Sus scrofa: one gene and its partner. The protein of the gene in region 1 interacts with the protein of each later gene in a biochemical or structural test. Links are inferred from orthologs where the notes say so. Each region holds a gene or a part of one and is shown on either strand. Other genes may lie near its edges.

Region 1 (4,117 bases):
ATTCAGTTGAATAATCCAGTAGCTAGAAATTTACCCCTGACTCACCATGGTAGAGCAAGTAGTATAGTCTCTAGCCTCGAAGGCTGTTGTTACCCATCCAGGGGCACCGCAAACACATGCTGGATACATCAACTAAGTGCCTAAATAAAAGCTAACCTAATCCCGATTAACTGTAGGCACCACTATCCCCCTTAATCTATTTGGGAGTGAGGCGGCCCCAGCTTAAAGCTAGGAGGAGGTAGCATTGCAAGCCCATTAAAAGAAAGTACCATGCAGTAAAACACATTATGCCTAGAGAGCATCAAGTTCCCATATGGCTAAGCTAGCTATTTGCACCAAGTACTTGGATCACTGGATACCTACCACTACCACCGCCAAAGCCGCCTCCGCCTCCTCCGTTGTTATAGCTGTCATAGCTGCCACTCCCGCCATAGCCACTGCCCTGGTTTCCATAACCCTGTCCACCACTTCCATAGCCTCTGCTTCCTCCAGAGTAACCAGGGCCGCCTCCTCCATAACCACCTACAAGAATACAATTCTTCTCAATAAGACACAAGTATTCAACATTCAAATTCTGTGCAAGCATGATGGCTAAAGGCCGGCTCACAACATGCTGTAAGAGTCAAACTTGAACTTATCATGCACTAAAGTTTTAGTATCTACTAGCCTATTCTAAAAGTAGTCAAACTTTTTACCTGTAGTTTCTTAAAAAACAAAAAAATCCAACAACAAAACGAACTAAAAAAACCCACACACGCACACACAAAATTTTAACAGTAAAAACAAAAAAACTTACCGTCATTACCAAATCCATTATAGCCATCCCCACTGCCACCATATCCACCACCACCACGACTGCCACCAAAGCCACCTGGAACAGAATTTAAAAGCCAGGTTTGAAGTATGTGGATCGCATACAAATCACACCCTTCTAAGCCTAAATTCTAAGAAGCGTTAAAATAATAAAAAACCATACATACCTCGACCACTAAAGTTTCCCCCACGACCAAAGTTGTCATTTCCACCAAAACCACCTCCACGACCACCACCAAAGTTTCCAGAACCACTTCGACCTGAAGAAAAAAATGTTAACGTTAAATTGTACCGGTTAAAATCATTCAAAATGATGCTTAAGGTTTAATTAAGCAACAAACTCACCTCTTTGGCTGGATGAAGCACTAGCCATCTCTTGCTTGGATAGGGCTTTCCTCACTTCACAGTTGTGGCCATTCACAGTGTGGTATTTCTGAACTGAAAAATTTGAAAGTAAGACACCATCTCAGAGTTTAGGACACAAATGGATTTCAGAACTCTTAGCGAATGCCAACCACCTGCTACTTACTGACAATCTTGTCTACGGAGTCATGGTCATCAAAAGTTACAAAAGCAAAACCTCTCTTTTTGCCACTGCCCCTGTCCGTCATGATTTCAATCACTTCGATTTTCCCATACTGTTCAAAATAATCTCTTAGGTGATGTTCTTCAGTGTCTTCTTTAATGCCACCAACAAAAATCTTTTTCACAGTTAAGTGGGCACCAGGTCTTTGAGAATCCTAAAGGGGGAGAAAATAGTAACAATCCTAAGACCATGTTAATACTAAGTCTGTTACATCCCCTTAATGTGAGTGAATCCTGCTAATCGAACATTTCCAGTCGATGAAACACAAGAAAAACATCACTTACTTCTCTTGAGACGGCCCTCTTTGGTTCCACAACTCTTCCATCCACCTTGTGCGGCCTTGCATTCATGGCTGCATCCACCTCCTCCACAGTGGCATACGTGACAAACCCGAAACCTCTGGAGCGCTTGGTGTTTGGGTCCCTCATTACCTTTAATGTTTATTTAGCACATGGTAAGACACCAGAAGTTACAGCCTTTTCTACCTTGACTAAGGCAATGGAAAACTTTCTACCAACCCTCTAAACGAAGCTCTTCAATGACCACCGCCCCCACCCCTTAAACCTAACAATTGGGAGCTTTTCAGCTATGAAGCCACACCTTCCTTTGTCAAGTAAGCTATAAAGTCAATAGGAATCTTCATAAGCATTCAAACAGCAACGACAGCGAGATAAGCCAAGAAAAACAACTAGCTCTAAGGCCTTTTGTCTCTTCCAAGTCTTACCACACAGTCTGTGAGCGTTCCCCATTGCTCAAAATGGCTCCTCAGACTCTCATCGGTTGTTTCAAAGCTCAAACCTCCGATGAAGAGCTTCCGCAGCTGTTCGGGCTCTTTGGGAGACTAGAAGTAGGGGCAAAAAAAGCGTTAAATAGGGCTATAACGCAAACAAGCTCCCCGCTACAAGAAGCAACACCAGGTAGCAACGTACGAAGCTTTTATTGTTCCCTCGGGTCGCTGTAAGCCACGTGCTTCTCCCCATCTGGGGAGGCGGTATGTTGGGGGCTGGGAAGCGGCGAGCGCATGCGCCCCTTACTCTCCCTACGACGCACGCGCAACAAAAGGACTGGGAGGGCGTGCATCGCCAAAATTGGACTACAGCTACTCTTTAAGAAAGTCGTCCACTAGGACAAGGATGAAAAACAGACCGAATGTGTCCACGAGCATTGCAAAAAAGAACGAGAGCAGCGTGATAACCAAGGATTGCACGACGACAGCCTCATGGCGACGAGGACAAAATGGCGACCTGAACTCAGGGAGGGGTAGGCCCCGGCAGCGACCGAAGAACTGCCGAAAAGGCTGGTGCAAGCAGCCAAACCAGACTGCACCCTACCAAACTCAGCAAGCGGCGAAGAAGAAAACGCAGATGAAAAAAGAGTCTCACTCACCTCTGACTTAGACATGACGGTAGTGGGGAGGAGGTTACAACGATGCTTACTCGGCGGCGTCCGGGGGCAGAAAGGAGTAATCTAACGAACGAGTCTGCCAGCCTACCTTCGGCCTCGCTTTTTTATCCCGCCTCCTCGCGTTCGGCATTGGTAGACTCCGCCCCTGAGTAGCTCTGATTGGATATTTGACATAGCTTTCCCCCACTATTGGTCTCTCGTATGCGTTGCTGTGTAACGTCATCCGTTTGGGCGTTCTACGCAGTCTCAACCCCTCCCGGTCCATTGGTTCCTAAGTAATATTATTCTTAACTAGACTGATTGGCTGGTCAACCAATGATTCATATTTGAATTATTTCGGGTATTGAGATAACTTTTTAATTAGCTATGTCCGGAATATTCAACGCCTGTGTCAAAGCATTTTTAATACTATGTATCAAAAAAGTAGCTAGCATGTGACAATTTGGCGGAACGGGGGCGGGGGCAAGATCGCCTGCTGAGCGCATGTGTAGTAAAATGGCGAGTTTACGCAGGCGCGCTAAGAAGTTCCGCCCGGAGCTTGCAACACGTGAAATGGCGGGCAGGAGACAGCGGCGAACCTAAGGCGCCTGCGTAGTGGCGGGAGTTGTGCCCCCTTTTGCGCAGGCGTAATGGGCGGGGAAAGGGTCGGGTCCCAGGATTGGTCGCGCAGGCGCAGGGAAGGATCCGTTTTGGCGGGCGGTTGGCGTTGCGCAGAAGGCGGCGGCGGCGGTGGCTTGTGGTCCGGCCGCACCACAGAGGAACAGGCGAGGCGTTAGCGTGAGTGATCGGTCTCGACCCCCGGTAAGTGGCGGACCATCTTGCCTACCCATACGAGGTCTTGAACTGACTCCAACTGGGCCCGTTATTGTGTGAAATGAATGGACCTCGGGGTGGGGGCTCGTGAAGGGGGAGCGGTGAGATCGGCCAACCAATGGAAGAACGGGGGCGGGATGTTTTATCCCCGTAGGTTCTGTGGAGCTTTGCAGCGGAAGAGTTTGACTGGCGAGTGTATAGGCCAATTGGGGCTGTCCTTAGCTGCCGACTCATCGGTCCTTGGGCCATCGGTATGTGGGAGGCGGGCTTTCTCCTCCTGAGCAGCATCTCACTGAGCCAATGAGCACGAAGCGCGCGGTAGGTTGGGCTCCTCCAAGAGGCCACGATTTGACTCCAATGGGGGATGCGGGAGTTGGGCGGTTAGGTGGATGGACCAAATCGGGAGCCAGTAGGCGAGCAGCCTCTGGAAAGCGCTCAGGCTGTTCGTCCAATCAGCGCTCCAAAAGAGGGAGGTCTTAGATTTGGGGATGCGAGGAAGGG
Region 2 (4,846 bases), on another chromosome or scaffold:
GCTCCGATTCGACCCCTAGCCTGGGAACCTCCATATGCTGTGGGAGTGGCCCAAAGAAATAGCAGAAAGACAAAAAAAAAAAAATTCAATCAAGGATCATGCATTGCATTTATTTATTGTGTCTTTTTGTTTCTTTTTTTTTGGTGTCAATGTTAGAAATTTTAGTTTATATAAAAGAGATAATTGAACAAAATATAAGAGGCCTAATGTAATCAGTGCTATTTTTTTGTGTGTGTAAAGATTATTTTAGCAACTTTTTATTTTGAAATAATTTCAAATTTACAGAAAAGTTGCAATGATAGTACAAAGAATGTTCCTCTATGTTTCACCCGGAGACACCAATTATTTACACTGTCATATTTACATTTTCATTCTCTTGTCTGCAAATATATGTATGGACTTTTTTCCAAACCATTTGAAAGTAAGTTGCTTCTTTTGCCCCTAAATACTACAGAGGTCATTCTAAGGACATCATCTTAAATAACTACAGGTATCAAAATCAGGAAATTTAACTTTGGTACTATATTATCCATATTCAAATTTCCCCAGTTGTCCCAAAGATGTCTTTTATAGTTTGTTTTTTTTTTTTGAGGGAACCAGGATCCAATCAAGGATCACATGTTGCATTTAATTAGTTAATTGTTATGTCTCTTTAGTCTTTTGTTTTGTTTTTTGTGAACAATGGCATTCAGAAGTTCCTGGGCAAGGGATAAAACCCGAGCTACAGCAGTGACAACACTGGATCCTTAACCCATTGAGCCACCAGGGAACTCCTCTTTAGTCTTTAATCTAGGCAATTGCCTAACTTCTGTGTGGAAATTTCACAATAACGACCTTTTTGAAGAGCTTAGGTCAGTTGTTTGGAATGTCTCTCAAATTGGGTTTGTCTGTTTTTCATGATTGGATTCAGGACAAACATGTTTGACTGCTACATAGTGATGCTGTGTCCTATTCAGGGCAACATATTAGGAGGCACATGTTAAGATGTCACCGTTTGGGAGTTCCCGTCGTGGCGCAGTGGTTAACGAATCCGACTAGGAACCATGAGGTTGCGGGTTCGGTCCCTGGCCTTGCTCAGTGGGTTAAGGATCCAGCATTGCCGTGAGCTGTGGTGTAGGTTGCAGACGCGGCTCGGATCCCGCGTTGCTGTGGCTCTGGCGTAGGCCAGTGGCTACAGCTCTGATTAGACCCCTAGCCTGGGAACCTCCATATGCTGCGGGAGCGGCCAAAGAAATAGCAACAACAACAACAAAAGACAAAAAAAAAAAAAAAAAAAAAAAAAAGATGTCACCGTTTGATTAAGCTGGGTTCAAATTTGGGCTGCTTATTTTGCTAGTTGGGCAAGTGGGTTATTGAGATAGTTTTTTCAGCTGTCAAATGAGGGTAATAATAATAATCCTGGTTTTATGAGTTTGTTGATTAATACATATGGACAGTGTGTGATGCATTATGAGTATTTGATAAATTATTATTATTATTGTAGCACCTGCAGCATCTGTAAGTCCTGGGGCTAGGGGCTGAATTGGAGCTGCAGCTGCTGACATATACCACAGCCACCAGTCATACCCACACTCCACTAGTCACCACAGTACCAAGTGTTCCAGCAGGGTGTGGCTTCCGGTGGCACCGCCCTCTGACAAGCCACGCCCCTCTTTTCCTGGCGCCTGCGAATGGCGGTGGTGTTTTGGCCCGCCGGTGGAGCCGTAGCTACAGTCTCCTCGGGCGTTCGCAGCCGGAAAACCGGCTGTCCAGGATCCCGGACCGAGGTCCACAATGTCGGAGCAGGAGGCTAGGCAGAGCGGAGGTTCCCCGGAGGCCAGCGGGGTGACTGTAAGCGACATTCAGGCGCTGATACGGCGCAAGGAGGAGATCGAGGCGCAGATCAAAGCCAATTATGACGTGCTGGAGAGCGTGAGTGTGGGCACGGGGCTCCCGGGCGGGCGTGGGAGCCGCCCCAAGGCCTCCTGACGCGGTCCTGGGAACTGGGAGGCCTGGGAGGCCTGGGAGCTCAAGCGGTCGGTCCCTGCTTGAGCTCTCATGTGTGGATCTGGTTCTGCTTGGGAGGCTCAAGGCGCTGCAAGTGCGGCCTCTGTCGGTAGCAGGCAGTGAGGCAAATAACGTGAATAACTGGGACAATTAGTATTGACGTTCTAGCAAGCATTTATGGAGCCCTTGCTGGGTTCTGGGCGCTGTGTTAAGCGCTAAACATTGGTTAACTCGTTTAGTCCTCCCAGCGATCCTTTGGAAGGCAGCTGTGCTCACCACTATACCACCAACGCCACTGCCAACAATCCTTTGAAATGTGTTCTGCTGTTTACCCCATTTTAGGGTTGGGGAAACAGAGGCATTTCTTAAACCTGCCTCAGGTCACAGAGCTAATTAGTTTGCACAGGCAAGGTGATAATCACCTCTATCAGCCCTTGTTGTGTCCTGAGCTTTTTTAATCACTTTATGTTGGAGCTTCTTAAACTTTAATGTGTGTACGAATTACCTGGAGACATTGTTAAAATTCCGATTCTAATGGGGAGACAGTGTGCGGAAGCAGCTATGCATTTTTAGCAAATTCCCAGTGATGCTAACGGCGCTGGTCTCATGACAGAGCTTTGAGCGACAGGAAGTTCTCGTTATCCTTATGGTATAAGGAGGAAAGTGAGGCCTAGAGTCATGCATGTAGGAAGTGGCAGTGGTGAGGCTAGTTCCCAGGTCTCTCTGGCTCCAAAGCCACTTAATGTAAAACCACAAATCAGTTTGCAGAGGAAGAATAAATTAATCACATCTTATAAGGGGCAAATGGAATGCATTTTAGGTGATGGGAGTAAGGTGAAGTATCATATGGAGGCTGGGGTACTGTATGCTGAGTATTTACCTGAAGGGTGCTGGTTTATGTGTTATGTCATGGAATCCTCTCAGCTACTTTGTGAAGTTGGTATGTTACCCTTAGGCTCAGAAAGGGGAAGTCACTTGCTCAAATTCACAAAGTGGGATTCAGATCTGATGCTTATTGAATCCAGAATCAGTGCTTTTAAGTTGTGCCAGCAATTTCTCACACCTTAGATATTTTTTTTTACTTCAGGTGTATCTGTAAACCACCTGTACTATTATTCCCTTGATATTTTTCTTTGAGTTGACCCACCTTTTTTTTTTCCCTCAGGGGCCAGGGATTAGATCTGAACCACAGTTGCAAAGTAAGTCGCACCTGTGACAATGCCAGAACGTTCCACTGTGCCGGGCCTTGGATTGAACCTGTGCCCTAGCACTCCCAAGTGTGCCACAGTGGGAACTCCAAGTTGACTCTTTTTTTTAAAGATCATATGTCAGATTGTGGCATTGTGTGCTTTTTTTGTTTGATTTTTTTTTTTTTTCCCTTTTGGTTTTTAGGGCCACACCCGAGGCATATGGAAGTTCCCAGACTCTGGACTGAATCAGAGCTATAGCTGCCAGCCTATACCACAGCCACAGCAACTTGGGATCTGAGCTGTGTCTTCTACCTACACCACAGCTCATGGCAACGCTGAATCCCCGACCCACTGAATAAGGCCAGGGATTGAACCTACATCCCCATGGATCCTAGTTGGGTTCGTTTCTGCTGAGCCAGAACGGAACTCTCTGACCCTCCTTTTTTTTTTTTGGTCTTTTTGTCTTTTCTAGGGCCGCACCCTCGGCATATGGAGATTCCCAGGCTAGGGGTCTAATTGGAGCTGTAGGTGCCAGCCTATGCCATAGCCACAGCAATGCAGGATCCGAGCTGTGTCTGAGACCTACACCACACACAGCTCATGGCAACGCCGGATCCTTAACCCACTGAGCAAGGCCAGGAATCGAACCCACAATCTCATGGTTCCTAGGTGAATCCGTTAACCACTGAGCCACGATGGGAACTCCTGACCCACTTTTTTACTTAGATAATTTTATTTTAAAAGGAAATTTTGCAACTCAACAGCATATAAAAAAATGAGAATCTCTTCTCTTAAACATAAGGTGAAAGTGTATATCAAGGTGATCCATCCAAATATCTGTCAACTGATGAATAAATAAATAAAATGTGGTCTAACCATACAGTGGGATATTATTCAGTAAAAAGGAATGAAGTGCTAACACATGTTGCAGTGTGCATGAACCGTGAACATTTTGCTAAGCAGAAGAAGTTCATCACAAAAGACTACATATTTTGTGATTCCATTGATTGATTGACTGTGCCCGAGGCATGTATGTGCAAGTTCCTGGGCCAGGGATGGAATAAGAGCCACAACAGTGACAGTGCTGGATCCTTAAACTTTCTAGACCACCAGGGAACTCCTGTGATTCCATTTTTTTTTTTTTTTTTTTTGGTCTTTTTAGGGCTGCACCCATGGCATATGGAAGTTTCCAGGCTAGGGGTTGAATCGAAGCTCCAGCCGTTGGCCTGTGCTACAGCGACAGCAATGTGGGATCCCAGCTGCATTTGCAGCCTACACCACAGCTCACAGAAATACCTGATCCTTAACCCATTGAGTGAGGCCAGGGATCGAACCTGCATCCTCATGGATACTAGTCGAGTTCATTACCCCTGAGCCAGGATGGGAATTCCCTATGATTTCATTTATGTGAGATATCCAGAATAGGCAAATCCATAGACAGAAGATTGATTAATGGCTACTAGGGCTTGAGAGGAAGGGGGAATGAGAATGACTCCTAATGGGTTTGGGGTTTCTTTGGAAATGTTATAAAATTGATTATTGTGGAGTTCCCGTCGTGGCGCAGTGGTTAACGAATCCGACTAGGAACCATGAGGCTGCAGGTTCGGTCCCTGCCCTTGCTCAGTGGGTTAACGATCCGGCGTTGCTGTGAGCTGTGGTGTAGGTTGCAG

The links. The genes of interacting proteins can lie anywhere in the genome.
Region 2: the proteins of HNRNPA1 (region 1) and PSMD9 interact in a test that uses a peptide from one of them, tested with the Homo sapiens proteins (3 studies listed by BioGRID and IntAct, with this or other methods). The link is inferred for Sus scrofa from reciprocal best matches to the Homo sapiens genes HNRNPA1 and PSMD9.

What each region holds. Positions count from the first base shown.
Region 1 is NC_010447.5:19,483,860-19,487,976, reverse strand, and holds the start of HNRNPA1 (heterogeneous nuclear ribonucleoprotein A1), read right to left. Parts: upstream 2,801-4,117; coding exon 2,786-2,800; intron 2,241-2,785; coding exon 2,124-2,240; intron 1,831-2,123; coding exon 1,684-1,830; intron 1,554-1,683; coding exon 1,343-1,553; intron 1,252-1,342; coding exon 1,159-1,251; intron 1,074-1,158; coding exon 981-1,073; intron 872-980; coding exon 797-871; intron 523-796; coding exon of another isoform or gene 364-522; intron 1-363. UniProt on the Homo sapiens protein: Involved in the packaging of pre-mRNA into hnRNP particles, transport of poly(A) mRNA from the nucleus to the cytoplasm and modulation of splice site selection.
Region 2 is NC_010456.5:30,818,933-30,823,778, reverse strand, and holds the start of PSMD9 (26S proteasome non-ATPase regulatory subunit 9), read left to right. Parts: upstream 1-1,643; 5' UTR 1,644-1,773; coding exon 1,774-1,911; intron 1,912-4,846. UniProt on the Homo sapiens protein: Acts as a chaperone during the assembly of the 26S proteasome, specifically of the base subcomplex of the PA700/19S regulatory complex (RC).